Drosophila melanogaster: one gene and its partners. The protein of the gene in region 1 interacts with the protein of each later gene in a pairwise test. Each region holds a gene or a part of one and is shown in the gene's direction. Other genes may lie near its edges.

The links.
Region 2: the proteins of ftz-f1 (region 1) and bon interact in a two-hybrid assay, tested with the Drosophila melanogaster proteins (one study listed by BioGRID).
Region 3: the proteins of ftz-f1 (region 1) and gce interact in a two-hybrid assay, tested with the Drosophila melanogaster proteins (one study listed by BioGRID).

The regions. Positions count from the first base shown.
Region 1 is NT_037436.4:18,794,973-18,805,143, reverse strand, and holds the start of ftz-f1 (ftz transcription factor 1), read left to right. Parts: upstream 1-3,834; 5' UTR 3,835-5,036; intron 5,037-6,288; 5' UTR 6,289-6,412; coding exon 6,413-7,607; intron 7,608-10,171. Other genes in the region: CG14073 (uncharacterized protein), read left to right, coding at 1-1,120, 1,187-1,315, 1,414-2,081, 2,147-2,362. UniProt on the Drosophila melanogaster protein: Acts as a cofactor to fushi tarazu (ftz). Facilitates the binding of ftz to DNA. Binds the sequence element 5'-YCYYGGYCR-3' in the zebra element of ftz. Probably functions as a nuclear receptor for a yet unknown ligand.
Region 2 is NT_033777.3:20,591,259-20,601,551, forward strand, and holds the start of bon (bonus), read left to right. Parts: upstream 1-1,880; 5' UTR 1,881-2,585; coding exon 2,586-2,786; intron 2,787-10,293. Other genes in the region: Pus1 (pseudouridine synthase 1), read right to left, coding at 1-353, 418-694, 750-1,235, 1,299-1,338.
Region 3 is NC_004354.4:15,292,905-15,303,048, forward strand, and holds the start of gce (germ cell-expressed bHLH-PAS), read left to right. Parts: upstream 1-4,861; 5' UTR 4,862-5,032; intron 5,033-5,132; exon of another isoform or gene 5,133-5,313; intron 5,314-6,104; exon of another isoform or gene 6,105-6,679; intron 6,680-7,604; exon of another isoform or gene 7,605-7,718; intron 7,719-10,144. Other genes in the region: CG5877 (uncharacterized protein), read left to right, coding at 252-989, 1,433-3,649.

The DNA.
Region 1 (10,171 bases):
AGACCGAAGACCAAAGCTGCCAGCAAGCAGGATTTCACGCCGAAGTCCATAATCGATGTTCTCCACTTGAGGGTAACCAATGGCAGTACGGCTGGCACTCAAAGGAAGATCTCAGTCTCTGCTCCAGCTTCCACCAATCTTCAGATCCACAGTGAAACCTCGCAAACTTCCGCTTCTACTTCACTGTACGAGCAATCCCAGCAGGATAACCCAACTGAAAACCAATCCCTAGACGATATGAGCAAGCGGCACTTTAGCATTTTCGACACCAAAGTGCTGCAGAGCAAAACCCGTACAGAAACCAAGTTGCAAAAGCACAGGGAGATCATCCGTGAAATTTTCGTCGGCCCGGAACGTCCGGCGTCGGCTCCGCCAGAATGCGTCCAGGAGGCAGATGGAGGAGATGCCATTAGTTACCAGAAGTACGAGGAGTTCCTGCAGCAAATGAACAGCATTGCCAGCGCGAATGATAGCAAATTGGCCAGGAGATCTCTCATGGAGGACAAGTCGGTCACGGCTCCGCAGTGTCCGCACAAGAGGAAGTATCGTTGTAGGAAAGGCAGCTCGGGATTTGACTATATACGAAAGAAGAAGAGACCAGCTCCGACTCAGACGCAGAACCACACGCAAAATCAGAGTCAGAGCCAAGTCTCCAGTCAGATAACACAACACATTTTGGAACACAATCAGAGTGCGGCGGATGAGCGCTTGGAGGATACGGATAGCACCATCGCTGGCAGTTCCCATTTGCCTCCAAAGGTGAAAACGGAAATGGATGTCTGTCGTGAGATCCAAAAGTGGGTGCTCAACAAAGGAGTTGGTCAGAGTACCATGCACAAGGCTGCTCGCCAGGGCCTAATCGATGTGGTGGTCTACTGCTTGGATCGTATGAATATGAATCCTGACCAAAAGGATAACGCCGGCTACACTCCACTCCACGAGGCGTGCACCCAGGGATGGCTGGAGATTGCCAGGATTCTACTTCAATACGGCGCGAATCATTCGGAGGCGGCTCAATCTGGAATTAGGCCATTGCACGGAGCCATCGAAAACGATCACGAGGAGGTGGTGCGACTGTTGCTCTCCTATGGAGCCGATCCGTTGCTGGCAACGTACTCAGGTTGGTGTTGGATGTTTAACTTTGCATTTCGAAGGGATTGTAACAATTGTACCCTTTTGTTTTTAGGTCAAACCCCGCTAATGTTAGCTTCAAGCAAGTTGATGCGAGGCATTCTGCGCGCTCATCTCAGCGATGCACAAAGTGCCGCCGCTGACATCAAGCCAATGCGATTCAATGGGCCTTGGGAGATATTTGGTGAGTGGAAGCAAATAGTTCTTTGCCATTGCATACAATTAAGGATAAAACTAAAATATGAATGAATTTGAACTAAACCATGCATTAATCTCTTCCAGATGCTAAGGAGTATGGTTATGATATATTCAGTAATGTACCGAATACAGCTTGTGATATGAGCAGAGCTCTACGTAAAGAAAGGAAGGAGGCCAAGCAGCAGAGGATGAGCAGCAACAGTGACAGGACCAGCAACTTGAATGGTCTGTTAGCGGAAAAAAAGGAGGAGCAGAAGCCCGAGGATTTGGACCAGGATCGGGTGACAACAACGATCAAGCAGAACGGGGAGACGAGTGCAACAAAGACTGGATCGGCGACTACGACGACGGCAACAACGATGGTTAAATTGGAACTGGGAACCGACGAGGATAGCAATAACAATAAGAACAACGAGGAGCTGAATGCTAATGTGGAAAATAATTTAGTAACAAGCGTTGTGAATGTCAAGAATGAAGTGAAGAAGGAAGTGGAAGCTGAAGCTGAAACAGAAGCGGAAACGGAAACGAATGCGAAAGCAAATACGAATAGTAGCACTAGGCTAGACGAGGATCAGACGGACATCGAGACAATGGATAGTGAATTGAATGGTGATATTTTTGAATTTGAAGAGGCCGATGTGCCCTTGCCACCACTGTACTTGCTCAAAGACGAGGGCAGTGATAAATGGGTACTACTCAATGATTTGTGCAATTTACTTAAAGTTAAATCGAAGGATACGTTGCTTAACAAGGTATGTGCCATTTAGATGCGATATTTAAATGAACTTATAACAAAATCTTGTTATTTTTTTTTTAGCTCTGTCCGAACAACAGCAATGCCTTGGCCAGCAGTCAGAAGCACCTGCTACGGGAGTTCAAGATAGATGATTTCCTGGAGAAAGCCACCTGCCTGCAGCTGTTGTGCGCCGGTGAAAAGCTGAACATGTTCAGTTCGTCGAAGGTTGTGCTCATCAAATACAACGACAGTGTACGGAACTTGTTGGGCGTTAAGACCATTTTAATGAAATTTTAACCGAGATATCTTTAGCGATTGGACGGGGCAAGATCCAGAAAGATATAAATTAGATAATGATGAATGGATGAGCATAGTACTAACTGAACATAGAGTGTAAAGTGCAAACAAATATGGAAAAACTATTAGTACGAATATAATAGTAGATTTATATACTATACATATGTATATTTTAGCTAGTAACTAGTTTTTACTCACACGTCTTTGTCTTTGGAAGATAAAGGATTTTATAAAGGAAATTAAATTTAGAGCTAATGCAAAGTGATACAAAGGTGCTATACACACTCAAAACGAAGAAAAAGGAAATGAATGGAAATTTTAGAGCGAGAATATTGAGAAAATCTGGAATCTTTAGGGATTGGCTGCAATTATGCAATAAAAGTAGAAGAAAACAATGCAAGGCAGTTAGAAACGAGGAAACGAACGGAAAATGTATGCCAGCCAATCAGCTAATAAATTGATATATACTTACAGATAAATCTAGGGATGAAGTGTAATCTATGGTTTTTAAAAAAACAAAACAATCTAGCTAAAGTATAAACTAAATAATAATTATTGTAATAATATTAAAGAAGCAACAAAGGCGTATTTATGTATTATGTATTTTTAAATGAAATTATTAACATAATATATAAAGTATATGTATACACAATATGATCCAACTACAATGTAAATCAATTTTCAGATAGGTTTGTAATTTTCTATGTAATGTACGTGTGTAAGTTTTGTGCAACTATAAAAGGAAACCACAAAAAACTGAAGAAATTTAACAAAAAAAAAAAAACTAATAATGAAAAACAAAATAAATGCAAAGTGAAATTTTGACAATTTAAAAGTGCGGTTTCACTTCAAAATTTTAACAATCTCCTGGCATTTGAAAACAAATATCGATCCAAGCTTTTATTAAACGATTCTTCAAAATTGGTTTAAAAGGTTATTTATATATAATAATAGATGACTGAACAGGTAAGGTCTTAGATAAGTACTTAAATATACTTAGAGGGCCCATTCTTTTGAAAAAGTATAATTATATCTTGTGAATATTTAAATTCGTCTTCTTCTTTTCCTTTTAAATTTGCAATTATTTGAACTAGATAATCTCATTGTATTTTTTATTGCTTATTAAAATTTATGTAATATTTCATTGACAAACCGCCACAGTTTTGAATTTACGATCTATCGATAACTTGGCGATAGGTTCCGGCAGATGTCGCTCTCAAAAGCTCGCCGCACGAGCGGTGCGCTAAACGCGGGTGTGCGTGCATGTGAGTGCTTTCAGCTGAAAGCTTTCCGGTTTTCATATGATTGCCGTCCTTGTTCTTCAAACGATTTTTAAAGGCCAAGAATGCTGCCTCTCTGTCCTTGGCCCCGCTCTTCGCTCCGGTGATCCAACACTATCCCGACCGCGCATGTGTGTGTGCGTGTATGCGCGAGGGCTTTCGGTCTTCTTCTACCTACGCCAACAAACTTTTACTGTGTGTTGTGTTCCCGTTCGAGTTCGACCTAATTTCGCTCGAGACCTAATTTTTGCGTGCGGAATAGTTTTTCCCGAAAAAGTGAAGCCAGCGAATAAACAATAGCTGAAAGTGAGCGATAGCCAAGAAAGTAAGAGTGAAAGTAAACAAAAGCGAAAAGAAGAACAGCTCTGGCGTTAATTATGTGTGTGTACATACGTATATATTTAATATTTCCGATGCGTCCATAACGGGAGTGTGTTCTGGTTTCCAATCGTCGCCCGCGCCCCCGTCATTGCCTATCCGTTTACCAAACCCCAATTTTGGTGTGCAATTGTGTATAAAAATTAACACAAAGTGGGAAGATAGCGTTGTGTCATAGAATTGGAGCAGAAGCAAAAACAAGGCAAAATTAGCAAAAGCCAAGCGGAAAAACAACAACACAGAGTGCCCAGTGGAACCCCAGTACATGTGTGTATATATGTATGTGCGGTGCGAGCGTGTCAGTGTGTGCGTAGCAGGAATTGCAATTTATAGTTGTTGTTTCTGAGAGCTTTCGCTTGTTGCGCGCGTGCGACGATTGTGCAAGAAGTTCTTGGTGTGCGTTCGAAATCGGGAAGAGGAAATCGCCGAGAATAGAGGAAGAGTAAATGGCAATAAATGCAAAATAAATAAAAGAAATAAATAAAAAAAAATATAAATAAATTGCCAAATGCGTTTGGCGTCGCGTGTGTGTGCGTGTTCTGAAATATGCTGAAAGAGCTTTCGGAGAGCGAGAGCAAAAGAGAACGAGACGCCGAGAGATGCGATCGGGAGAAATAGCAACAACAACAACAACGGCAACAGCGACTACGATCGGCGAAATGAATCACACACAAGCTTTGTTTTGCGAATTATAAATTCGCGTTCCGTTCTCCACACATGCGAATTCCCACACTGAGAGCGAGACAGAGACAGCGAGAGAGAGGGAGACCAGCTACGGCTACAAAAACAGAAACAGCAAGAAGACCAAGACATAATAATAGAACTTTTGCTTTCGCTTCCAACTGGTTTTTGTATACATAAAAAGCGAGAGGGGAAGAGACGGAGAAAGAGAGAGACGGACAGCTTCCAGCGCTTCTTCTTCTTCCGCGATCTTCGTCTTGGAATTCATGGAACCGGGCGCATGCGCAACACACAGAACTACAAAAGGAAAAACAACGACGTCAGCTGCATGAAAGGTAAATTCTCAATTCTCCCCGCTGCACGACTTCCTCTCGCTCACCTTTTACCCCCCAAAAACCTCCTTTTCCATTTTGTCTAGTTGGGTGAGCTTTATTTTACTGCACTTACCATCTTTAATGGGAAGTAGGAGCACGGAATGAAATACAGTTTTGACACGAATTTGATTTAAAAACCATCATTATAAGAAAACTTTTTAAATAAAATCACCTTTTTGTTTGTTTAAATAAATTTTACTGGGATCATTATATATATATTTTTTACAAAAATTAATGTGGTTTTAAAAATTTGGATAATAAACTGAAAATTGTATCAGCAGTTTATAGCTTTTTATAGTTTTTTTTTATACATTTTCTCGTATTTTCCACTAAGATATTTTTCTTTTAAAATATTAAATATAAAGTTAATGTCATTTGCTCAATTTTTTTCCGTGGATTACCCGAGGGTTGGTGAGATTCAAGCACGAAAAGTGAAGAACTTGAAGTCGAGTGAAGTTAATTAAAGTATCGTTAAAAAGGGTAACACAGGGCTTAAAAAAATGGGGGAATCTTTCCAGTTGTCTGTTTCGCGAACTGGAAAATTACTGTAAATGGGGGAATAAACAATTTAGCGTGTTAATTTTTAAATGGATTTTATCTACTCGGAAAAAATAATTTGGTTAAAGATGCTTTTAATGCATTAACTTTTTTTTTTTTTATTAATTTTTGTAATCTTGTAAAACAATTGCATTTTTAAAAAAACTTTATTTTTCAATTTTTAAATTAAAGATTCTCGACGTCTATTTTGAAATTTAATTTTTAAACATCGGTTTATTGGTGAAATTGCATTGATACTGATAAAAATAGTTTAGGCACTCCTAAGCTCTACGGAGGTATATATTGTGGACTTTCGACGATTTAGTTAAAAACCCTAAACAATAATTAAATAGTAGAATTATAAAAAAACTGAAATATAACATAATAAATTGGGTGGACATTGAAGTGGTACAGAAAAAGCTTTGAAAGCTTTCTCTCCCCACAAAGAGTTGACCTTGGCCTGCTTCAAATACCATTAGGCCTTTCCTTGGCCCACATTCTCTGCGACCTGACCTTCAACCTGACCTTGCATTAACCTAGGCCTTTGAAATCCTTGTCCTACTTCCTGAAAATTAATATTTATTACTAGAACGGATTGATTTTTGGTTTAGACGGCTTTAAAAACGCTTAGAATTTTTTTTTGATTACTAATAATCTGCTTTATTACCATTTTCAGGTCTTTAAAGCAATTATAAACTTACAACTACTATCGTTACCTGCCATTAAGAATCAACAAAACAAATACCACACATCACAACGAAACGTACAAAAAATAAAAGTTAAATTATATTATTCATAAAATGGATACCTTCAATGTACCTATGCTGGCGGAGAGCAGCAACACCAACTATGCAACAGAAGCTACCAGCAATCATCACCACCTGCAACATCAGCATCAGCAGCAACATTCACATCAGCAGCAGCAGCAGCAGCAACTCCTAATGCCCCATCATCACAAGGATCAAATGCTGGCGGCGGGCAGTTCGCCCATGCTGCCATTCTATTCACACTTGCAGTTGCAACAGAAGGATGCAACTGCAACAATAGGACCTGCAGCAGCAGCAGCAGCAGTTGAGGCGGCAACAACATCGGCAAATGCCGATAACTTCAGTTCATTGCAAACGATCGATGCCAGTCAACTGGATGGAGGCATCTCCTTGAGCGGCTTGTGCGATCGTTTCTTTGTGGCCAGTCCAAATCCCCACAGCAATAGCAACATGACACTAATGGGCACTGCCACAGCTGCAACAACTACCACTACCAACAACAACAATAATAACAACACTAACAATAACAATAACAACAACGTGGAGGCTAAGACAGTGAGGCCATCGAACGGCAATTCGGTGATCATCGAATCTGTGACGATGCCATCGTTTGCCAATATTCTATTTCCCACCCATCGCAGCGCCAACGAGTGCATTGATCCCGCCCTGTTGCAAAAGAATCCCCAAAATCCAAATGGCAACAACAGTAGCATAATTGTGCCGCCCGTCGAATATCATCAATTGAAACCACTTGAAGTCAATTCGTCGACTTCCGTTTCCACCAGCAACTTCCTGTCCTCCACAACGGCCCAATTGTTGGACTTTGAGGTGCAGGTGGGCAAGGATGATGGCCACATTAGCACCACTACGACCACAGGGCCGGGCTCTGGATCGGCATCGGGTTCAGGATCGGGATCGGGATCGGGATCAGGATCGATTGCACGCACAATAGGCACTGCAACGCCCACAACGACAACATCCATGAGCAACACTGCCAATCCGACGAGGAGCTCATTGCACAGTATTGAGGAGCTGGCCGCCAGTTCCTGTGCCCCGAGAGCAGCGTCTCCCAACAGCAACCACACTAGCAGTGCCAGCACCACTCCGCAGCAGCAGCAGCAGCAGCAGCATCACATGCAAAGCGGCAACCACAGTGGCTCCAATCTCAGCAGCGACGATGAGTCCATGTCCGAGGATGAGTTCGGTCTGGAAATCGACGATAACGGAGGTAAGTTCATCTTTTGTATCAAATGATTTATTTACCTCCCCAAAACCATCCTAATTCGAAAGGCAAATTGTTTGGCAAACATTCTGTTGTTGCTGCAAGTGAAGTGATAACGAAGCGGCAAGTGCGAAATAATACAAATACATAACGACTAATAAGAAAAATACAAACTAATGACACAATTAAACAAAAACCGCGTGTATTATCAAACAAATGCTCAAATAATCAATAAATCAAAAGCAAGCAATAATGAAAGTTATGAAAAAAAAAATTGATAAATTCATTAATAAATCAATATTTAATATGCAATATACAAAATAATGAAACTTTATAAATAATATGTAATAATAATGATAAAACGAAACAACAGCATTACAAAGATTATGTACTATGAATAATAAATTTTACATTTCATTACCAAATATTTTTTTTTGGTTGCTCAGCAATTTTAGAGCACTTGCTACTACCAATCCGGCCAATTAAAATGCGATTATATTCACACGCATTTCAACTGACATTTATTACATTTTACACATTCAATTTAAATTGAATCAGACCTTGATGTTTTCACTAACCTGTCATTACTGGCGGTTGGTTTTCCACTGGCTCGGCCAGACGGAGACGGTCGTCTTAAATCTTAGTGTGCCAAGTGCAATGCAAAGTTTAAATATGCACGGGCGGTACAACCCACCTCTCCCCCCCCCCCCCTCCTTGAATTCCCTCCACCAGTCCACAGTTGGCCTCGCACTTAGCTCCATGTTTGTTGTGCGGCATGGCGTCGGATGCAGCCATAAAAATCCATTTGAAATGTCTATAAAAATGCAACTAACCTACTTTCGGGCGATGTTTTTGGAAAAGCCGAAATCGAAATGCTCTTCATTAAAACTGCTTTGCTTAATTGCAATGTCTAATTAAAAGCGAATTGAAGTTTGAATATGAATAATTATTTGTTTATAACCATTGTAGTTGATAACATATGGTTGGTTACCTTCTAATGCAGCTGAAAAAGTTTCAGCAGTTAGATTTGAGCTATTTACTTTTAGTGTGAATGAATATAGTTCTATATATTAAATATACCAGATATCCCTTGTTCTTCCAAAGAGTATCTGTAAAATGCAAATGTAGAAAAATTCGTTCGATGCGTGAATAGCAATTAAATGGGCAAACTGTGACAGACCCCTGCCAAATGCCGTCGATGATGAATGATCAAATATTACAGACACACATACAATACATAATATGTATGTAAGATTGTTTGATTTTGTGTTTGTTTTACACGACACTTGGTGGCATGATATGGCTTTTCAATTTTCAAATTAACTTTATTGACATTCGGCAATGTCATCGTGCATCGAGTGCTTGCACCCCTTTCCTTACCACAGGCACACTCAATTCGCCCGCTTGGCCGTGGCGACCTTGCGGCGGGAAACCCCCCAAGTGCAGCTTAAATTCTCCAGCTCCATGCGTCTCATCCTTAGAAAGAGAGGCAAAATGGAGCAAGGTCGCCGGGGCATTAGAATTTGGGTCAAGCGCAAACGAATCGCTTTTGCGCTCGCTTGCGTTTTCTAATATTGGAGATTGGGCTCAAGGATGCGAGACAATAACAAAAAGCGAAATTGCATAGAAATTTGAAGGTCACCGTGTGCATCAGCCGCAGCGCAGCCGGCGTCGCAGTCGGCGCAGGCAGTCGCGTGCGCTCGCACCCTCTCTTTCGCTCTCCATTGCACACTTTCTACAGTGAGAGAAATCTGTGAAATATACGAATTATATGAACAACAGTAAAGATGCAAATTGAAATGATTTTTAATGTTTAAAATCATCTGGTTAAGTAGTTATGTTCAAGAAAACAATCTAGGATTATTTTTATAACTCAAACGATAATTTTAACGCTAATTTATAGAAACCAGAAACCATTTAAGTACTTGAAAGTTCTCTTATAAAATCGATCACAAATATATCTTAAGCTAGCGATAGATGATGAATTAGTTGCACAATAAGATTGTACTCTATCTTTTTGAATAGAATTTTTAGTTGCCACGATGGCCATTTTCTTTAGACTCTTAATAAATTAATTAATAGAAAATATCTGAAACTTAGTGGGTATTTTTTCTGTGTGCATCTGTTGTTGCGGCTGCGTTTGTCGGTGGCGCTGTTCTGCCTCAGTTGGTTTTATTTGCCGACGACGCCGCCGCCGCCGCCCGCAACGCCGGCTGACATTGACATAGATTGCGCCGTGCCGCACACCGCACACTGCACCCCAAACCCCCCACCCCCACCCGCACCATACCGCACCGGCGTCGCTGGCGTGCGTCTATGCTCACCTCAAAGGATTTAAATGGGTCAAAGTCAGCTAGCAGCTTGTTGCATTTTGAAAAAATGCGCAAAAAGACGCAAAAAAAAAAAGACAAATTGGGGCACGACATTGACTGCTGCATATAGCATATGGATAGTACGTATATATAATACATATGTTGTATGTGCATTGTTTGTAGCGTCGCATTTCAAGGTCCTTTGGATGGATGCGAAGGCTGTCGCCGTTCTAGCGGGCATGAGTCCCAAGGACATGC
Region 2 (10,293 bases), on another chromosome or scaffold:
TAAACTCCTGGACTTGCGCCTCCTGCGCCTGCCATGTCAGCGGATTGTGGATGCCGTCCTTGCCGTAGCGATCGTTGTAGCGCTCGTAGTGCACTGTGTCCAGCACGAGGCCCAGTCCAGGGGCCATCGGCAGGTCCAGACGCTCCTCCGTCAGTGCCCGCTCTAAAGTGGCCGCCGTCGTGTTCCCCCTTACAATGGCAATGGCTAGACCCACCATCTTGCGAATCTGGTGCAGCATAAAGCTCTGACCCTTAACCTTAAGTGTGACAAATTCGATGTCCTGGGGACTCCGGAATGGCTCGCTGCTCGTAAAGGACATGATGAAGCGCTTGGACGAAGGATCCAGAAAGCTTCTACAAGGGTAGTAAACAAAATATTAGTTGGAGCAGAAATGAAGTATAAACCTGGCTTATTTACTTCTTGCTGGTGAAGTTGTGGAAGTTCTTCGTGCCCTCGTAGAGCTTCAGGGTTTCTTTAACCTTCTGCAGCAGCTCTGGTGAAATCCGGAAGGTGTCGTGCACGTCGTCGACCTTTTCCTCAAACGGAGCAAAGGCCACGGTGGGCAGTGTGTAGGTGTAGGTCCGAGCATTGCATTGATCCTTGGCATTGAAGCCCTTAGTCACGCGTTCTACGCCAAACAGACGGATCTGTTGCGGCAGATCGGCATTGAAGGCCTCCAGGTCCAGCTCCTCAGCTGCAGGAAGGAATAGGTTTAGTATTGTCTTGTAAAATAGAATAAGTAAACTAACGCAGCTTGACGGAGCACACCTGGCGGGCGGCGGAGACGCCCTTGTCGGTCCTGGCCGCTCTTTGGAAACAGGAAATCTGAATCTGCTCAAAGCTGTCCTCTGTAATCCACTTGTGCTTTAGCATGGCTTTGAAGAGCTCCTCCTCGATGGTCTGCATGCCGGGATTGCGCTGCATACCATAGTAGTTCGCACCGCAGTAGCTAAGCAGGATGGCGCTCTTCTTGCGCTTGATCCGGTCGGCGGGATCGAACGGCGCTCGCTTCACGCCGTTGGCGGCATCCTTCTCGTCCTGCTCCTTCCAATCGACCCATTTCTTGCGTTTAAGTGTTCTCTTGATGCGGTTGGCGTCCTTCACGGCTTCGCCCTCCAGTTCTTTGGCCTCTTTCCTGGCTTCCTTCTCCACCTCCAGTTTATCTAGAGCCTCTGACATCGCTGCGGCGAAGGATTTGTGGCGATTCCAGGGATTGCAAAGGGTTTTCAGGCGAACTATTGTAAGAAAATTAATTATTATAAATTCTCGAATTGGAGGTGTGATCACTAATAATTAACCTGCCTTGGTGTAGTCGTTTAAAAGTCGTCTTAAAAACATTAAGTAAACAATTCTGGATTTAAAGTGGAGGAATTCACACACGTGTGGTTGTGCTTCTTCTTCTTGCTCTGTTACGGATCAGCTGTTTTATTTAACAGCTCTGTTTGGCTAATACAAATATGTTTTTTTCGAAAATCGCGTTCTTTGAATTAGCTCAATAATTAAGTTGAGTTTCCGAAATGCTACTTTTGATTTACTTAAGTTTTAAATTAGCTGTGTGGAGAAAAATGTTCAAAGCTTTACGTAACGTTATGACTTAACAGAACGAAGACGTTACAAGTTTATTTTAAAAATTATGTTATATTTTACTATAACCTTTTAATACCAGGCTAAGTTATTAGTTTTAAATTGTAAATAAATGGCATCTTGACCATGTATTACAACATTAATATGATTTTTTACGAAATGAACGGCGAATTCAATTGTGGTATTGCCAGATCGCGTGTTTAGTGTGACCTCAGCTGCTTACGTTTCCACGGCCGTGCGTAACAGCCCTCGAAATGCCGTCGTACTGGCAACGCCGACATGAATTAATTGAATCCAAAATGGCTGAACATTTTTTGTACAGAAGAAGCGTCCAACGAGAGCAAACGCCGTGAGACCGTGTGTTTTCGCAGCGAATTACGCCAATAAAACCGCACTAAGAGCGCGCTCGCAGCGCGAATAAAGAATAGCAGCCGCGTATGGACGAAATGCGGCACGAATCGCTGGAAAAATCGACGGCCAGACCGAAAAATAGCAGCGAAATTCGAGCGAACGTCGTGTATAAGTAAAACGAAAGTTGTGTCGCTCTGTGCGAAAGAGAGAGGGAGAACCCAATATTTTTGCAAGCCAGAAGTCGAAGGTGAAATTAAAATGCATTAGCCACCCAATTGAAGAGGAGTCAACTACGAACAAAACTTTAAGAATCAGCGAAAAATCGTTTGTGAACATCCATACAAGCACAAATCGTTGTTTTTGCCTGCTCTCGTGTAGTTCCTGTGTATTGGTGCGCGCGCCCTGTGTGTGTTTGTGCGTGTGCGTGCGTGTAAGCATTGGAATGGATTAACTACCCAACTAATTCCAAAACAATAATACCGCAACATAATCGCAATAGTCATGCCGTTTCAAGGCGACAGCCTTTAGGGAAACATTCGGTCGGTCGGTCAGTCAACCAAAAATCAGTTGCTATAATTAGCACGCCCACGTTTTAATTTCAACGATCGCCAGCAACCGCCTACGCGGTTAAATCGCAGGACTTCGCCAACATGGATATGGATTTGGAGCAGCTAAAGAACGACTTCCTGCCGCTTATCGCCGGGATCAAGCAGGAGCAGCTGGATGCCGTGCCCACGGATGCCCTGCCCCAGATGAGCACACCAAACACGGCCAGCGGTGCGCCCACAACCTCGTCATTGAGCTCCTCTTCGCTGAGTCTGAGCAACCCCTGCGACAGTGCCGAGAAAAGGGTATGTTGCTAGTCCGTATCACGCGTTCGTTACCTATAAGCTAACGCCAAGTTGAGGTTAGCTAAAGCCGCCTAATCACACGTGCTCTTGCGGCTGATAACAAACAGCCGGCTCAATACACATATTCCCCTGCTCTGCGCAGTCTGCTCAGTGTAAACTTTTGTTTTGGTTGGATTTTGATGCGCTCGTGCTGCGTCCTCCTTATCAAGCGTTTCGAATCGAGTCTCGTGCAAAAAGCGTTTGTTATCTTTTTCCCAGGCCAAGGCAAACAAAGCAGCGTATTCACACAACCAAACAAACAGCGCGCAATGGCAAGTGTTGTTGTGTTTCACTTTCACGGCCCAGTCCGAGATCTTACAGTGAGAAAAACGGCGTGCACTTTGCTCTATTTTACAGTATATGTGTATATATAGTTTTCTATTATTTTAAAATTAATATGACTATGCAGTTTTAATCTTGGATATACCAGTTAAGATGTAAGAAATGTGATGTTATCGAACGTTGAATCAACTTTAAAATTAGTTCTAATATACAAATTTTTAAGTTGTTATATGAAAAAATGAAAAATAATATACCAACTTAATGCAAGAATTTAATTAAATTAAAAAAGGTACAAATTAAACATTAATTATTAGCTTACTGATTGAGAATTTTTTTTTTTACTGTGTAGTGAGTTAGGGTCTCGTGCCGATGGTTCTCGATTCCCCTATGAGTGCGAGCAAAACAAGCTGTTTCTAGACAGTCGCTACCTCGCTTTCACTTACGTGGAAGGGCTAAGTCAAGATGGTCTCCCTCTCTTGCAATTGCAGATCAGCTGCAACATGCAGCTGCCACTCTCCAGATGAGCGGCAATAGAGTGTGTGTGGTTGTGTGTGTGCTCTCTACTGTGTTTTGTTTGCTCTCCGTCGTGCTTGAGCTGCTCTTTAAGCTACAGTGGAACCCAAGTAGATCATCCTAGTGGAAAGCTTGAACATAATTGTCCTGAAAAATAAAAAAATACTATAATATTTTAACTACTTCAATCTAAAGAATTATTGAATTGCTTTTACACCTTTTTGTTTATTTTCATTGTATTAGTTACTTACTGTACAGCCAGATAACTTGCCTTAACTGAACTTCCAATATAATTTTGGGACATACAGAATATAACTACCTTATTTTCAACGTAAATTGGGCAATTTGAAAGTTTCATTTAACACTAACATTATGAATTAAAATCAACGGCTTGTGATTACAATAAAACAAAATTAATGTTTTTCACAAATGATAACCGCTTTAGATGACACTAATTGGTCACGATATTTTATTATGTGTGCTAAATAAAACAAACACGTTTTCATGTATGTAATTAAAAATTCGAGCTCTAACTTTCTATGCGGCATGTGATACTTCTAGTTACGGAAGCCTGACTGTATGAAAGACTCAAACTTCTCCTGCAACCGTGCAAATAAATGTTCGCCTAGAGTGGGCCTTTTGGAGTGGCCACTCTCTCTTGAACCCCAACCAGGGATTGGGAATGACATGCACTCATTCAATCCGTCCCTCAATCATGCAAACGGTTGTGTTTGCTGTGGTCGTTGGGGGCACTTAAGACCCCCAGACTCCATGCCCAGTCCCCCCCCCCCCCCCGCCTGAATCCCCTCCAGATCACTTAATGCCCATTTCTGATGCGGGCAAACTATCAAGTGGAAAGTACTTCGCCGAGGCAAGGTGTGGAGTTCAGAATGGATGATGATGGGGATTTCAAAGGAATAGCTTTTAGATTATTAATCCTGTTAAAGATTTTCATACATGCATGTACATAACTACAAAACAATCTGACTTAAGAAACTGCCAAGCACGGAATAGTTAAATAATTAATATGAAAAGAATTATCAAAGAATTATTTATGATCCAGTAAGAATTATGCGATCCTTTAGATTTCCTTTAGATTTGAATGCTAATTCTTCTCTTGACGGCATTTTTTTCCTTTTCATCGAGTAAATTATTCTAATTTATGCATGACTTCACAAAACTAACTGTACCTACTCATGAATACATGGAATACATGATGTCGTTAAGTAACTTTTATGGGCGAAAAACATAATAAGAATTTCTCAATAAAGAGAGAAGACTTAAAATTCACGGATAATTTTTTCCTATATATAGTAAACAATGATACCTCTGCTCATATTAAACTCAAATGATTATTAATTTGTTTTTAATTAAAATTAGCTTGAAAGGTTTTATACATTCATAAACACAAGGTCTGCTTTTGTGGAGACTTTCTTTTTTACCTTTATACTTCCGATTCGGTAAAACACTCAAAATCACTGAAGCTTAACTGAAAAGAGAAACCTATTCATTTGTAGCTCCTGTCAAAATGGCGGGTTTCGGCATTAAAAGTGACAGCTGATGGGGAGGTTGCCGCTGGCGGGCATCCATATGTCATCTCAAAAACACTGCACCTAAATGCATTTTCCTACCCTCCATGAGGCCATATTTAATACTCCCATAAATACGTATGTACGAACGCTTGTCGTACATACATATTCATGAAGTCATGTCTTTGTGTGTTACCCCATGCATGCGACAGGTTGTAATTAAATTGCTTGACATCGGAATAAATGAAAACCCAAAATCGTACGACGCCATTTTGTGTTAGATACCGACGAGACCCGAAACGAATTCTTAGAATCCGCCTTTAATGATGTACAATTAACTTTAATTTGATGAGAATATGCAAGCAAAGCAAAACGAGGAGAAGGCAAAGTGCCGATGGCCAGACGCCGGTGCTAGGAAACCCCAGCCCCCAAAAATAAAAGTCGTTAAATGCACAAAAAAGTAAAGTTTCTAATTAACTTGATTACCCTGAAATAAGGGCGGGTAGATCTTGGAAAATGACTCTCTTTTCACTTTACTCGAACTACCTGGCATTAATGCAGACATCGGGATTTTAAAATGCTGGGATTTTATGGCATCTATAGTCAACCATCCCCTTTGTGATCCGATTGAACGAATTTAGGATTAGAAATAATACTCTATACTCTAAACTAGGTAATTGTGTCAAAGCCAATATGTGCATTAAAGATTTTCTGATTTAGTACGCTCAATGTCAAAATAGATATTCAACATATTTTTGAAGTGAACAAGAGAGGTCGCTCTAGTCTATTCTCGTTACTAGTGTTTTATTTTCGAGTTCGGAAAAAAAATTTTAAAAAAGATTATATGTATATTTGTTTTACTGTCTACTGTTCTTTGTACCTGTTATAAACTTTTAATCTTATATTAATAGCTTTTTGTTATTTTTAGGAGAAAAACCATCTTGGTTGATGTACATTTTATAAACTCTCTCAGTTCCGAACTTATTGTTAATAACGTTTAATTGGAACAAACCATGAAAACATGTTTTTTTCTAAAATGTTAACAGCTTTATAACTTGAAAGGTGGTTCCATTTAGGGACGTTCTCCTGTTTATCCAGGATATACACATTTTAATTGCTTTTCCGGGCAGTCGGTGGGCGTAAGGCCGCCCTAATCCATCCATCGACGTCCAGTGCGTAATTAAAGTTGACTGCGACTGCGGGATCAGTGCGGATGGATGGAATCGGATTGGAACTGAAAAAGGGAATGGGAGTGGTGTAGTTGTAGGTGTAGATGTGGAAGTGGTGCTCGTTGGCAACATGTGTACGCTGGTCGCACTCCTGTGCGGGGATTAGGTGCTACACAGGACATAATCCGATCACAAAAAGCGGATTATAACGCACAGCAACAAAAATGGTGCAGTCGGGCGGCCGTGGCAAAGGGAAACCGAACTGACGCCACTTTAAAAGTAGAGCGTTTCTGTCAGTGGAGGGGAAATGCAGAGGGCAAAGTTTTATAAGCTGCATAAGTCCTGAGAAGCGAGTCTGTCTGATTTCCTACCATCCTACGGCAACAGACAGCAGATGTAAGCAGATTTCTGAGCTGCGTCAGCTTGTTCAGCTGCCGCCTTGGCATGCCCCCAGATACGCCTACGCCCAAGTCCCGGTACCATCCATATCGGTTATAATATTGCTATTCCTGCAACTGGCGTCACGATTTTCGGGCCCCCTGCTGACTGGGAAGTCTTACCGGTTTGTGTATCTACATCAGCGGGGAGTCGCCATTTTGGAAAACACTCGTACTCTCGTAGTTCGTGCACACTCCATCCAATCCATATATATGTACATATTATGGTGTATACGTGTCTGCTGATGCCATGCCCTCCGGGAGCAGGAACAATTGCAACGGGCACAAAAAGAACCGCAAACCGCATCAGCAGCAGCAACAGAAACAGCGGCTGTGACGGCTTTGGTAAGCTCCAGAGACCGAGGGCCACCGGCTCGTCGGACCAACGTAACCACAACGCCCTGCCCAGGCCACCGCCAATGCAACCCGACGCAAACCTCGACCGTCGTCTGCAGCAGCAGCAGCATCGCTGGGGTCCAAAATCCGGGGACCAGCCGACAGCTCAGTCCGTTCATTAGTTTGCGGTTTCCTGGTTTCGTTTCGGTTGGCTCCACGTCTTTTGGTCTCTTGGTCCCCCACCAAAAGATTTTCAATACTGAATTTATGCTCGCAACATGATTGGGAGTAGTAATTATTATACCTTCCGTTCTGTAACTAGTCAAGTTTTCCCAACCCAAACATTGAGTTTGAGCACGAAATAGTAAAACTTGCCTAAGAGAATATCAAAACTGGTTTTCGTTCGGGACCAGAAAATAAAATGGCGATTTCTAAGTAGTAATACGGCGAAACTAATTAAGATAAGACTATCATAGTGGTTTGGGTTAGCCAATGCCAACCGTAGTCGGAACCAAATAGCAACTAATAATGTTATCATCCGGCTTTCTCCCGCTTCGCTCGTCTCTCCTTAAATTTTGTTTATGTTTAATCTGCTTCTTGCTTTTAAAGTAAACATTTCATTCAGCAAACAGCTGTGTAAATATGCTACAAATTGCCAATTTTCCATACAGCTCATTAGATGATAAACAGATTATGATTAACTGATAGCCTTGAATTAGTATTGTAGAGCATTGAACCGCTCCGCTATTAAGTTTCCTTTGATCAGGGAGGTTCGGTAACTATCTTCACCAAGGATCTAATCGATCAACCCATTTAACAAACGACCCTTGCCTGCCATTACAATCTCAATGAATCACTTTATTACTGCTCGTTGGATGTGTCATTCTCGGTTAGAAGTTCCACTTATCACTTATTCCATTACGAATACCCGAAGTCCCAACGAAAGGGTCTGTCAGATGATGACAGTTCGGTGAAATAGCAATTTTATTTACGTCAACCAAGTGAACTTCCTTCGGTTAGGACCTGTAGTTTGCCAGTTGCGACAGCTTTTAATGGGTTCCATCGATTTTCTCATAAAATAAACCAAAACTTTTCTGTTCGTGCCATTTACGATTTCCATACAATTAAATCTTTACGACTGAAGCGATGTGGCTTGAGACATTCGAGCAAAGAAACCAAACCGAAGGATACAGAAGTATAATATTTAATGAGTTCCGTCATAAACAGCCCCTTTTATGGGAAGACGTTAAAATACAGATAGCTTTTCAAATTTTCCAAAAAAATATTTTCGAAATATATATTCTGAAAATACTTGAGGTATTTCACTTGAAAATTTTGGATATATGGTGTATGAATATATAAGTATATAAAAGGAAATCCCGAGTGCCATCAGCCTTTTTCTCATTTGCCTTGTGTGTGGGTATGTGCGTAAATGCGTAATCATGGTTTTTATGAAACCATTTCTGTAGAAATTTATATTTATGTACAGTACACATACTTTTTTGGTGGCTTAAATTGCGTTATGAAATGTAATGTCGGGTCATTAGGGTTTGTCCATTAGGTGGGTTTCGGGTGGTTCAACACCCAGTTCGTGTTCCTCCAACTCCTGGGCGGAAATTGCAGCAACGTTGGCCGGATATGCCCGCGATTAAAGCGAATGGCCAATGGTCCAAAATGGCGAAGCTTCTCTCGCTTCCTCAGCCCTTTTCCATTGGTAGGAGATACGAATCGGATTTGAAGTGCTCCTAACGATTTGAAATTCGTATTTGGATTGGAATGCTTTTAATGCGTGTGCGACGCTTCTCGCTGCGTCTGAATACTTACAATTTTATTTATTTATTTATGTTGAACTCGCGGATTGGGTTTGTTTATATGGACATCTGGCGGTGGCCTCGCCATTAATATTTATCAGCTGCTGCACCTTTCCCGGCTTTGCAGCTCTGTTGCCTTCCTCCATGGCGTCGCATAAATCGCAGCAACTTTGGCCCGACACGCCCCTCGAACGCCCCGATTTTCTCTGAACTCGCTTGGCTCACAAGTTCCAGGTACAATCAAGTTTTTCGCTTTTATTATGGGGAGTATAATATATTTTATACGGCTCTATCTGCCGCCGTCTTCTCGCTCCCTTTCCACCTTTTCTACCAATTTATGGCGGCCATTTTGGAGAGGTGGTGTCTTTGAAATTTTAGTTTATTGCAAAGTCTCATAAATATTTCAAGAGCAAGTTTTTTCGTCTTCATCTCGTTCCCGCTCGATTTATAAACCTGGCCAATTTATATTAGTCTGCGAGGAAGCAGGGCATTTTATGAGGGGTTGAAAGAGAAATGTATCATGAGGTTCATGGACTTTGATGTGCCAGTCTGTCACCTGAGTCCCACTGCTCAGTGATGAAAAAGTTCTTTTGAGTGCTTTATGTATGTTCCATAAACACGATTGTTCATTGACTTGGCGGTGAGGCATTTATAGACCCAGTCAATTACGGCGAATTCATTTTATTCGATTACCAGTTGACCCTGGATCCATTATTATCGGTATCATATTTGGATTCCCTAGTGCATTGTTCAAGCGCTTAGGAATCTGGAATCTGGAATTTATGCACCCGCCCCTACATATCTGGGAAGCATTTCCAATTTCATTACTTTGATCAGACTTAATGAACCGGCGACCATGGAGCATATCGAATGGATCCGCCTTGCCCAAAACGAGTAACTGCGGCGAATGAACCTTGAATGGAAAGCGTAGCAAACTACAGGCAATTATTTTCCATTTGCGTAAATTATACATTTAAATTAGGTGTTGGCATATTTCCTTTAAAGGTACTTGTTGTTTTAGCACTCTTAGTCACGTATTACGGACAGTCTGAATGATGCATTGAAGATTAGCCATTGTCGAAAATGGGCGCCCAACAGAAATCCAGAACGTAATTAATTTTCTGCTTTTGTTGTATCAAAGGATTTTCCCTTCCGTCCGAGAGTTCAAAGTACACATATGCCCGTGCCATCTGATGCCTGCCGTTTTGTGTTGTAAATTTGCAAAATAAACGAAATTGACGTAGGAGCAACAATAAACAAGCGATGGCCGGCCATCATCAACCGGCATCCAGCCGTCTGAAATCCGAAGAAACTCCAAAAGGACCAGCATCATTGGGCTTCATCTCTATCTGAAATCGCCATTTAACCAGCAGGACGACAGACCTCCCATG
Region 3 (10,144 bases), on another chromosome or scaffold:
AAAGAATGATGATAACGTTTGCGGCAATTAAAATGAAATATTTTAAGTAACTTACGTTATGGGCTATATGCACATCTACATTAGTGAAGATTCCAACCAATTGGTTGATAACCGCGCTATTTATCGATAAGTCACCAATCGACATTAACCCACCTCTAATGTATCGCAACATAAACAAAGTTAATATTAAATAAAGGGGCCATAATTTCTCAACAATTTGTTGTTGAGTAACTAGTAATTAGCTATTTGACATGTCTCTCTTTCCCGCCTACGGCGCTGGCCGCACCTCAGCAGCCGGCAGTGCGAAACAGACGACGAAACCAGGTGAAGAGGAGCCGTCGACAGGCGGGAATTGGAAAAAAAACGAGAGTTACATCAAAAAACATGTGAATATAGCAACTCAAGGACCCGAATCGGACAGTTCCTCCAGTACGGAGGACTCCGAGGATGAGGCGGACAAGCGCAAGCAAGACGATGTTACCAAAACCAAGAATGTACACCGGGGTAAGACACTAGAATTCGATAGCAGCGATGGGTTTTATGTGGACAAGGTGGGCAACAGCTCCTATAGAAACATCAAAACCCTGAAAAAACCCGCAAGACCACGCTACAAAACCCGGATGAAACGACTGGGTGATGGAAAATACAATCCCCATGACTTCTCAAGGGCTCACTCCAAATTTTCCCTAAAACGTAGTCGCTACGTCAGAGAGAAACTGATCGCTGATGCACCCAGCGAAGATGAGGTGTCCAGGCTGCAGGAGCAGCTCATACGCACCAAAGTGCTCGTCCAGCAGGAACCCGAGGTACTGGACCACTGGCTGCAGCTGCACCGTCTGCTCAATCTCAACTTGGACAAGGCCAATCGGCTGGCGGTGGCGGAACAACAGATACACAGCCTGGAAACGGCCATGGAGCACCATCCGTCCAATCAACAGATTCTGCGGCTCTACACGCACGTGGCCAATGCCACCTATCAGGCCAACGAGGTAAGCGATGGGTTAATTTCCGCAGGAAATTCCAAATAATTTCAGTATTTATTTAATTAATTTCGATCATATTCACTGCACTGCAATGGTGACAAAACACCAAACATGATATTTGGGAAAAAACAATAGCCATATGTATGTATGGATCATAGTAACCCGGTAATATTTTGTAAATGGGATCAAATAGATTTGAAACATACTGTCAGGGCCAGAGAGTCATTACAATTCACACTTTAAAGGCGACTAGCTGATATATTTTTTTTAAATTTGTGAGAATTATACGAACTAAAATTTTTCTACCGGTTCTCACACAAAACACTTTAATTTTTGCTTATCGCGTGAAATTTTTTCAAGTACTTTTATAAAACGAATTGTATGTAGAAAAGAACATTTAACATTTAATCGACATATTTTATCAATATACACGATATTCTTTTATTCAGGTTGCTAGGCGATTCGAGAAAATGCTGAAGAGAAACCCATTCCAGTACACACTGTGGAGCAACCTAATAATGATCACCCAAGGCGACATGGCTTGTTGCAACGTGTCCGCTGTGCTCCGGATTTACGAGTACAGCATGCGCCGCATGCATGTGGGACACAACGATGAAATAACCCGAAGATTCATCATTAAGGAGACTGATGTGATAATGCTAAAACTTTTTCACAATTGCTTACTATTCCTACGCCAATCGGGCCATACTAACTGGATGTTTGCTCTGATTCGTTTGTCTATGGAGTTGAATTTCCCCTACCTGACGTTCGAATGCCTACAAGCACATGCAGGAAGAGAAAAAGCATTGATTGGATTCGAGGAAGTGGTGCTGCGTTCGGGAATGCCGATGCCCGAGATCTGGACGCGTGTGGAGCAGCTCAGACAGGCATACTGCTTCCTGCCGTTGAAAGACAAGCTGGCTTCGTCGACTAATGTCTTCAAAAACAAGATGAACGCCGAACGATACTTTTGCAGCGACAAACTTGTCCCATATGTACACGCACTCAAGTCGCAGAATAATCGTCTGCACCTGGTGCTCGTGGTTGTTCAACTAATGAAATTGCCCCTGATTCGCAGCGCTAGTTTGGCGGACAAATTGAATCCTTGCATCGAGGACTTCGGCGAGTCTGAGGCCATTGAAATGCTTTTCGCTGCCATAGTAGATAGGCACTCCTATGCAGTGGCTTCGTTGCAATATCAATTTGATGCAGCCATGATCGACTTAGCCAGAGAGATGTCCGTGACGCCCAGCTACATGCCGCATCTTGTTGGCCATAAACTGTATGCGGATACCGTGAGTAATATGCTACTCAAATGCGTCGAAGTCTTTATCGGCGAGGAGTCCAAGCGACGATTGTTGCTTATTCTGTATTTGCGATTCCAAAAACTATTAATAGTGCTGCACAAGTCCATGGGCAAGCTAACGAAAAAATTCTTTAAGGATAAACGAACACGGATGCGCAAACTGATCAATTTGACGGAGAACCGAAATGTTATTAGTTTCTACACGGAACAGGCCTTGTGCGAAATTGAGGCTAAGCATTACCGACTGGGCTTTTCCATAATTTCGAGGATCATCACAAAAAAATCGGAAGAATCCAGCTGCATTAGTTGCGTGGACACAATGCATCTCTATTTAGTTTGTGCAGAATTGCATATACATAGGGGCCGCATATCTAAGGCCATCGGCATACTCGTTTCACTGTGTTTGGAAAAACATGCCGGAGTAAAGCAGACAACTGTCTACTCCAAGGAACAGGTTTTGAAAGGCCTGAGAAATGCAGAGAAAATGGTGCGAGCGGAACTGAAATCCCTCGATACCCAGCCAGCTGAGATGTCTTTGGAGGAGTACTTCCAGCCCAACAAATTGCTCATCCTCTTGCGCGCTATCTGTTTGATCGAAGTGCTGAATAATCGTCGTCATAAGGAGGCTAGAATGTGGCTCAATGACCTGCAGAATAACGAATTTGGTCCCGAGGCCGTCAAGGACAGCGAAAGAAAGCGTTTCCTTAGGGAGCAGATCATGGAAATACAGATGCTACATCTGCGTTTGTCCTTTTTAGTATTTGGCGAAGTTGAATTCTATACTGGATTCAAAAAGATCAAGCTACATGAACTGCTCGAGAATGGACTCGAAGAGTTTCCACGAAATATGGTGTTTCTACAGCTGTGGGCCAGCTTAAAATCGATTATGTGGCACAAGCAGCGTAGCCGGCTCATACGCACCAAAGCCGGCATCGCTTCACTGGCGCACTTGGTCGTTGCGATTCACAATCGCTTTGGAATCGTAGATACCAACGATAAGTTTTCAAAGGAAGCCACAAGGAAGATGGTGTGCAATCGTTTGGTCAGCATTGTCGAGACTTTTCTCCCGACCAATTTAGATCGTTTGGATGTGGAGGAAGAGCATTATCGCATACTGCGCAGGAACTCCATCTATTGGCGCTTGTACATGATTGCCCTATCCAAAACGAATGCCTCGTTTAGGCGCAGCAAAGAAGTCCTTATAATGGCCATGGACGAGTGTCCCTGGGACAAGTCACTACTGATGGAAGGCGCCAAGGTTTTGCCAGTGAAACTAGCATCGCTACAGGACCTGATGACCGAAAAAGAGATTCGCATTTTCGCTATGCCCGAGGAAGTGGACGTCTTGAGGGGCTTTTAAGTCGCTTTGGTTTTATTCGTTTGTTTTGAGGTTATTTGCCATTCGGGCGACTCGATAAGTTCGCATCATAAATATATTTATTTCTTCAAACAATCTAGTTCTGAAGTTTGCTTCAACTTTAAGTTAACTGGCGAAATTGCGATAAGCTGTTTGCAGTTATATGCGTACATGCATATTTTACTACATATATCCTAAATCGCTTATCAGAATTGGCTCACTAACAAATTCAGAATTAGCGATTTTGCTACTCAAAAATACTCGCCGTTCGATTATGTTAAAAAAAAATTCCAACACTTTATCGCTCGTTGCTGTGCAAGGAAACCAGAGTCGCATATCGAATGTCGGAGATTAGTCCAACTTCATCTTCTGGCCAATCCGCTCCCCCCGAATCCAGCATTTTCTTGTGTTTATTATTTTGATTGTGTTTATCGCAAGATAACCGAACAAAACTCATAAGCCAAAACAGCGCCGAAAGAATCACTGCGCACCTGAGGTCGCAATTGTAGCACCTGGAAGCTGTGAGACGAACTAAATACAACATATTTGTTATGTCATTTTCATATCGCTGAAATGAAACATATATTGCAAATAGCTTATTTTTATATTACTGAAATTTAAAATATATTGCAAATAGTTTATGGTTCTGTTTATTTAAATTTATTAAATCATTTAAATATGCAAAAGAAATTAAGAAGTTTTCTACATTTGTAAATTACAAATAAAAATATTTATATTCCTATTTAGCTATGAGTAGTTTTAACAGCTAACTTGTTAAATATTGATAAATTTAGATTTAATATGTACACATTAAAGGATTTGTATTAAATGACATGAATGATATTGACGATAAAATGATTGATATTTTGTATGCGATCTGTTTGTGTGACCGCAAGTGTGGTGGCCAAGTTGCGTGAGCGCGAGCGAGACGGCTGTGGCTGAGTGTTGACTCGTCTCGAATGTTGCGTATGCGCCCTGTCTGCCCAGCCACTTAAGACTCCTGTGCGTTACTGTTGCTCTTTGGAAAAGCGTGGAAATCGGGAGAGGAAACGCTGTGATTGGGCAGAGGGGTAGTGGGGATGAAAAGCTCCGCTCGCCGAAACGCATCGAAAGCTGTCTGAGCGCGAGAGTCCTGGCTGCTGTCCATTCGCACGTCCGTCTGTTCGCCTGCTCGTCCACCCATCCGACATCTTTGGACCGGGCTTCATCGATGGCAGTCGGTCGGCATCTGTCCAAGTCCCACGACGCGTTGTCGCTCCGCATCGGCCGTTGCTGCAGTGGAAGCGGCCCGTTTGGCCAAGTGGCGTCTCCGTAGTCCCTAGTCTCATGGCGGCGGAGTCTCCTCTCAAGGTTTCCCAGGCACTCCAGACCGTTTCCAGTTCCTAGGTTAGTGCTAGAGCTCGGAATATCTGGCCAGTATCAGGCCAATCCATATATAATAATATATACATACATATATATATATATATGTATATATCGCTATAACGGCCGAGTGTTTTTTGTTCCATTTCGTTTCGATAGCGAGTGTAATTTTTTTGAGAGTGCTCCCCCGTTCTAAGTCGTGTGTGTGTGTGTGTTTCTCTTCCTGTTTGGGTGTGTGTGCTGCGATGTCTCTGTGTTGGTGTAGAGCAGAAGCAAGAAGAAGCAGCATTGTGTAAGACGCCAGCGTCAAGTTCGTAGACTAAACACCAACCTTCTTTTGCGGCTCTACTCTAGCAAAGGGGAAAAGCTTTTCAGAGAGGAAACTCAGAAAATGAGAAAACGATAGAGACAGAGAGCGCAGAGAGTCAATGTGCACTGCTAGAAAATGTGGGGAAAACCAGTTTGCGAGCATGCGATTCGTGACAGTTTGCATATTTTTTAAGCATCTTTATCTCAGATTTCCAAATCTATAACTCAAATATTACTAAATTTATTACAGATAAGTGTAATCAAAATAATTGATAGCTTATTATTATTATTATATAATGCTTCCTTGGAGATTGTTATAAACAGAGGAGATTCAAGTGATTTTTTGTGCAAAACTCTAGTTTTAGCAACGTTTTCTTTTTTCCCGGTGTACTGGGTGAGCATGAACTCGCCGAGGGTTTCCCGGCCGGAAACCTTAGTCAAGGTCTCGCCAGCTTTCCAACGCAGGTTGTTGCTGCGCTCTCGCTCACACTCGCTGCTGGTGGGCGTTTGGCCAATCGCCATCTCTGTCGCACCGCTGTCGGTGACGAGCGAAGCTTTTATTGTATATTTCATCTTTCACGCTCTTTTCCCTGCCATTTCTGCTTCTTTGGGGCAGCGGCACCTAGAGCGGGAGCGGGAGCGGAGTGGAGCGTGAGTGGAGCGTTAGCTTTCCGGGCAGCTGATTCGCGCTCGGCTCGGCTCTCCGCTGCCGTTGCCGCTGCCGCCGTCGCTGCTCCGCTCGTCGTCTGGCTGATTAGTTTAGTTTGTGATTTCAATATATGTAATTAATTTTTGTTTCTGTAGCGGTACGGACGGACGCGTCGCGACGTTCGCTTGGTCCGCTTGGTGTTCGTTCGGTTCGCTTGGAGCTTGGAGTTCGAATTCGGTTCGCCAGCCGTCGCTGTTTCGTATTTATTATTATTTTTTATTTTTTTTTTATGAGTATATTCGTATTTCGCATTTGTATCTGAATGTTTCTTTGGCTCTGCGTACGTGTGTGAGCGATTGTGCGAGTTTCCTTCTCTTTCAACTTGCCTTTTTCGTGGTCGCCGCCGCTGCTAAAATGCAAAGAACACGCTCGAGCAACGTAAATGGCGCCGCGTTAACGAATGGAATTGGATTATCAAACAGTGCCCCCCAGAGCCCCATATAAAAGTTGAAAAAAAAAATAAAATAAAAAACAAAACGAGGAATTAAAACCGAAATAAAACAGGCAACAAACAAACTTCGTTTTGACAACCCCCCCGCCTTTTTTTTTGTTTGCGTGTGTGTGTTTTGTGCCAGTGCTTGTGCTATAGTGTAAAAAAAAAAGTTTGAAACAACAAACCAAAAACGCGCTCGAGGGGAAATATTATCAAAAAGGTAGATGGCGGTGACCTTAAATCATATAGTAATTATAGGGCTATCTTCCAGTTGGACAGTTTCAACAACCAAACGTTGGTGTATGAAAAACTCCAATTATCCTATTATACGACTAGTATGTATATTCATAAGCCCAATGGGGCTTAAATACCGCTGTTGGTGTGTTGTTGAACAAGCTTGAACAAGTATTTTTTTGTGCTCTACGTTGGTGCATTGGAGTGTAGATATAGTTTCAACAACCGACCAACCACCAAGCGCAAAATTAATATTGTTGAAACGTTCGAGCTTAGCAGCTGTTGGTGAACCGTTGTTGGTGTATTGTTGAGTGCGCGGCATTAGATGCTGTTGATCAGAGTACTTTTGGTACTCTTGTGATCCTGTTTCATTTCCGTTTTTGTTCACTGATTTCGATGTTTTCTTGTGCAGAGAATTGGTTTTATATGGTGTAGCCTACGAGTACGAGCATATGTGCTGAAATCAGCGGCGCGTGCGCGCATTTTTGCGCGATCGAAACCCGAGAACGATTCAGTTTTTTGTTGAGTTGGGAAAAGTTTCGATTTACGAAAAACATTCCCACTGTCTGTGTTTGTCATCCTTCGAAAATCTGCTTAGCCAACATTAACGTGTTTGCCCATCCACAAACACATACAAATGCATACAAAAAAAAAACTATCACATTCGCATCGACACAATCAATGAGGCAAGACAAATAAAATTAACATATTAATGAATTTCCAGTTTCTTTTTTCGACTTATTTAATTTTTTAATAAGAAAAGAAAAAACAGAAAAACAAAACAAGCGTGAAGAACTCGAGTCTCTCGACTTCGGCATACCCAAAAAGCACGAAAGCGGGAAGTGTGATTATGGCCAAAATTCCAGATCTGCGCTTTAATGGGTGTGCGAAGATCAACGGATTCCAATGAATATAGATGTTATATGGCGGAGCACTTTATGATGGGTTCTTAGCCTCCCTTGAACTTGTGGGCAGCATGGAAAGAGTGCGATGGAACTGAGCTTTGGATGATAATAGCAATAAAAGTAAATATAAATAGCCCAGCATCAGGTATTTGTTGGCAACAATTTTTCAATGATTTACCAGTTCCGAGTTCCGATCAATAAAAGTGTTTTTTTTCTGTTTTTTTTTTTTTTGCTATTCGGTTTGGTTTTTTCTTTCCAATTTTTGTTTTTTGTTCGGCTGCTTTGCTGCTGCTCTCAAGGTTTTCTGTGTGCTGTTGCCGATGGTGATGATGGTTATGATGATGATGATGATGATGTTGATGATTTTTGTGTGGATGTTTTTCATTTTTATTATTTTCTCTGTTACTTTTTGGCTTTTGTTTTGTTTTATGTTTGATAATTAATTTCTACGTCGCATGCTGATGTTGGCAATTCAAGTGAATTGAAAGAGGGGGGAAACTGTTAAAAATATATAAGTGTACAAATCTCAAGGCAGTTTATAAATATTTTAAAAAATCCATAGGTACATTGGGTAGCTTTTAAATTATAGCCAAAGCATAAGTTCTCTAAAAAAAAAACCATATAATTTGGATGTCTGTTTCATTTTTAAGGACAATAAAATATGCAGTCAATTTCCCTAGCATTTTTCTTTCTTTTATATTTTTTTACGAGTTCGTATATGTAAACATATTTATTTATTTTTTTTCTAACTTGTTGTTCTTGTCGCCCTCATCAAATTTTTTGCTGACGTCGCGTCTAAGAGCGATCGCTTTGGCTGAGCGGCGAGCGTTCAGCGTTCAGCGTTGAGCGGGCCAAGCGGTATAGAGAGTCAAAAGCTCGTCGCTTAAATGTGAGCAGGGGGGCCTGGTGGGGAGAGGGGCCAGGCGGTATTTTTTGTGGAGGGGCCAAGACGCTCTAAAGCTGCGGGAAAAGGAAAGCCGAACCTGTACTGAAAGCGGACCTAAGCAGCGGCAATTGATAACCTAACCTAGACAATAAAAACGACCGCCAACCGATGGCGACCCCAAGAAATGACGTCCACTACTTGAATAACTTGGCATTTTAAGTTAAATATTTAATTTTCAATTAAATGTGTCAGATTCTCTGGGCAGTCAAGCATAATTTAAGACAGGGAAAGTTAGCCGAGAGAAATGGAATGCCAAAATGAGCGAGCTAATGGTACTACTTTTTTTTCGCCACAATTTGTATTCTAAAGTACAATCGGAAAAACTACATAGAATGGGAAAATATTTCAAAAATGCTCGCGTATATTTCGAATTTCTTTTGAATAAAACACAATGTAAGCTATCATAAATTAAGGGCAATCAAATCGAGCCGCAAAGAATGTGGACTGCCAAAACACAAGTTTATCGATAAATCGAATCTTAATTGGAGGCGAATTTAGCATGCCTGATTGGATCGCATATAGCCGAGATAGCTTGACGCCATCTTAGGCAGCTATGCTAATTAAATCGATTTGACTTAGATTAGCCACGCTTGCCGCGGTTCACATGGCGTATGTGCAATAAACGCGGCTCACCATAACGCATACGCCGTGTGGCCAGGAAAATGGTATCCCTTTTGGAACGCATAACTCTCTATCCAGCTATTTCATGCATCGTACAGCGGCCTATTTCCGCTCCCCAATAGTTTACCTTCCTCAAAGTGTCTGTAGGTCAAACTAGTTTTATTTCTGCACCAGATTAGCCTTACAAATATAATCAACTTGAAAGCTCTATATTCAATTGAGACAGCTAGCTACTGTAATTTTATTTTCCCCCCCGTTTCAACTCTTTTTATTGGCTTCGTGATTTTGTAACTGTATTAACTGATATGGTTTTCGATCATCTCTGTGCGCCAATAGCTAGTTTAGTTTCTCCTATATTACCAATGTTATGGAATGTTATGCAAAGTGCACTCGCAAATCTTTGTAGAACGTGCTTGAACGGCCACGTTCTTCCCGCCCTCTCTGGCTCTTTCTTCCCGCCCAGCTTGTTCTCCGCAATAGCTCTTTCTTCTCCGCTCGCTCTCGTTCTTTAGCTGCTCACCTGCTCCCTTTCTCCCCCTCCCCCCACCCATCGAGTGCTCAGCTATTTTTGGTTTTTGCGACAACTTTTTGCCAGCCACCACCTGATGTCGACGTCAGCTTTGGGCCAGGTCGAAACAGCAGCGTCTCGCGGCTGTATAAAGCCGCTTTTGTAATTAGCCCTGCGAGGACTTTTTCTACATATTTTCAATTGAAATTTGGCATTAAATTGCTTGAAGGACGTTGAATCTAGATGCTAGCTAAAAAACTGTGTATCAATTCAATCAATATATATTTCTTAATACCAATTGATGAGTAAAAACGCTTTAAATAGTAAGTTACCACGTCCTGGCATTAACTTTCCACAAAAATATTTATGTCTGTGGTTCCTAGGCGAATTGGCAATGGCGTTCTATATTTTGTGCAACCGCATAGCTTAGAAGAGGTGTCAAGTTTAAGGAAATATATAAAACGACACCAT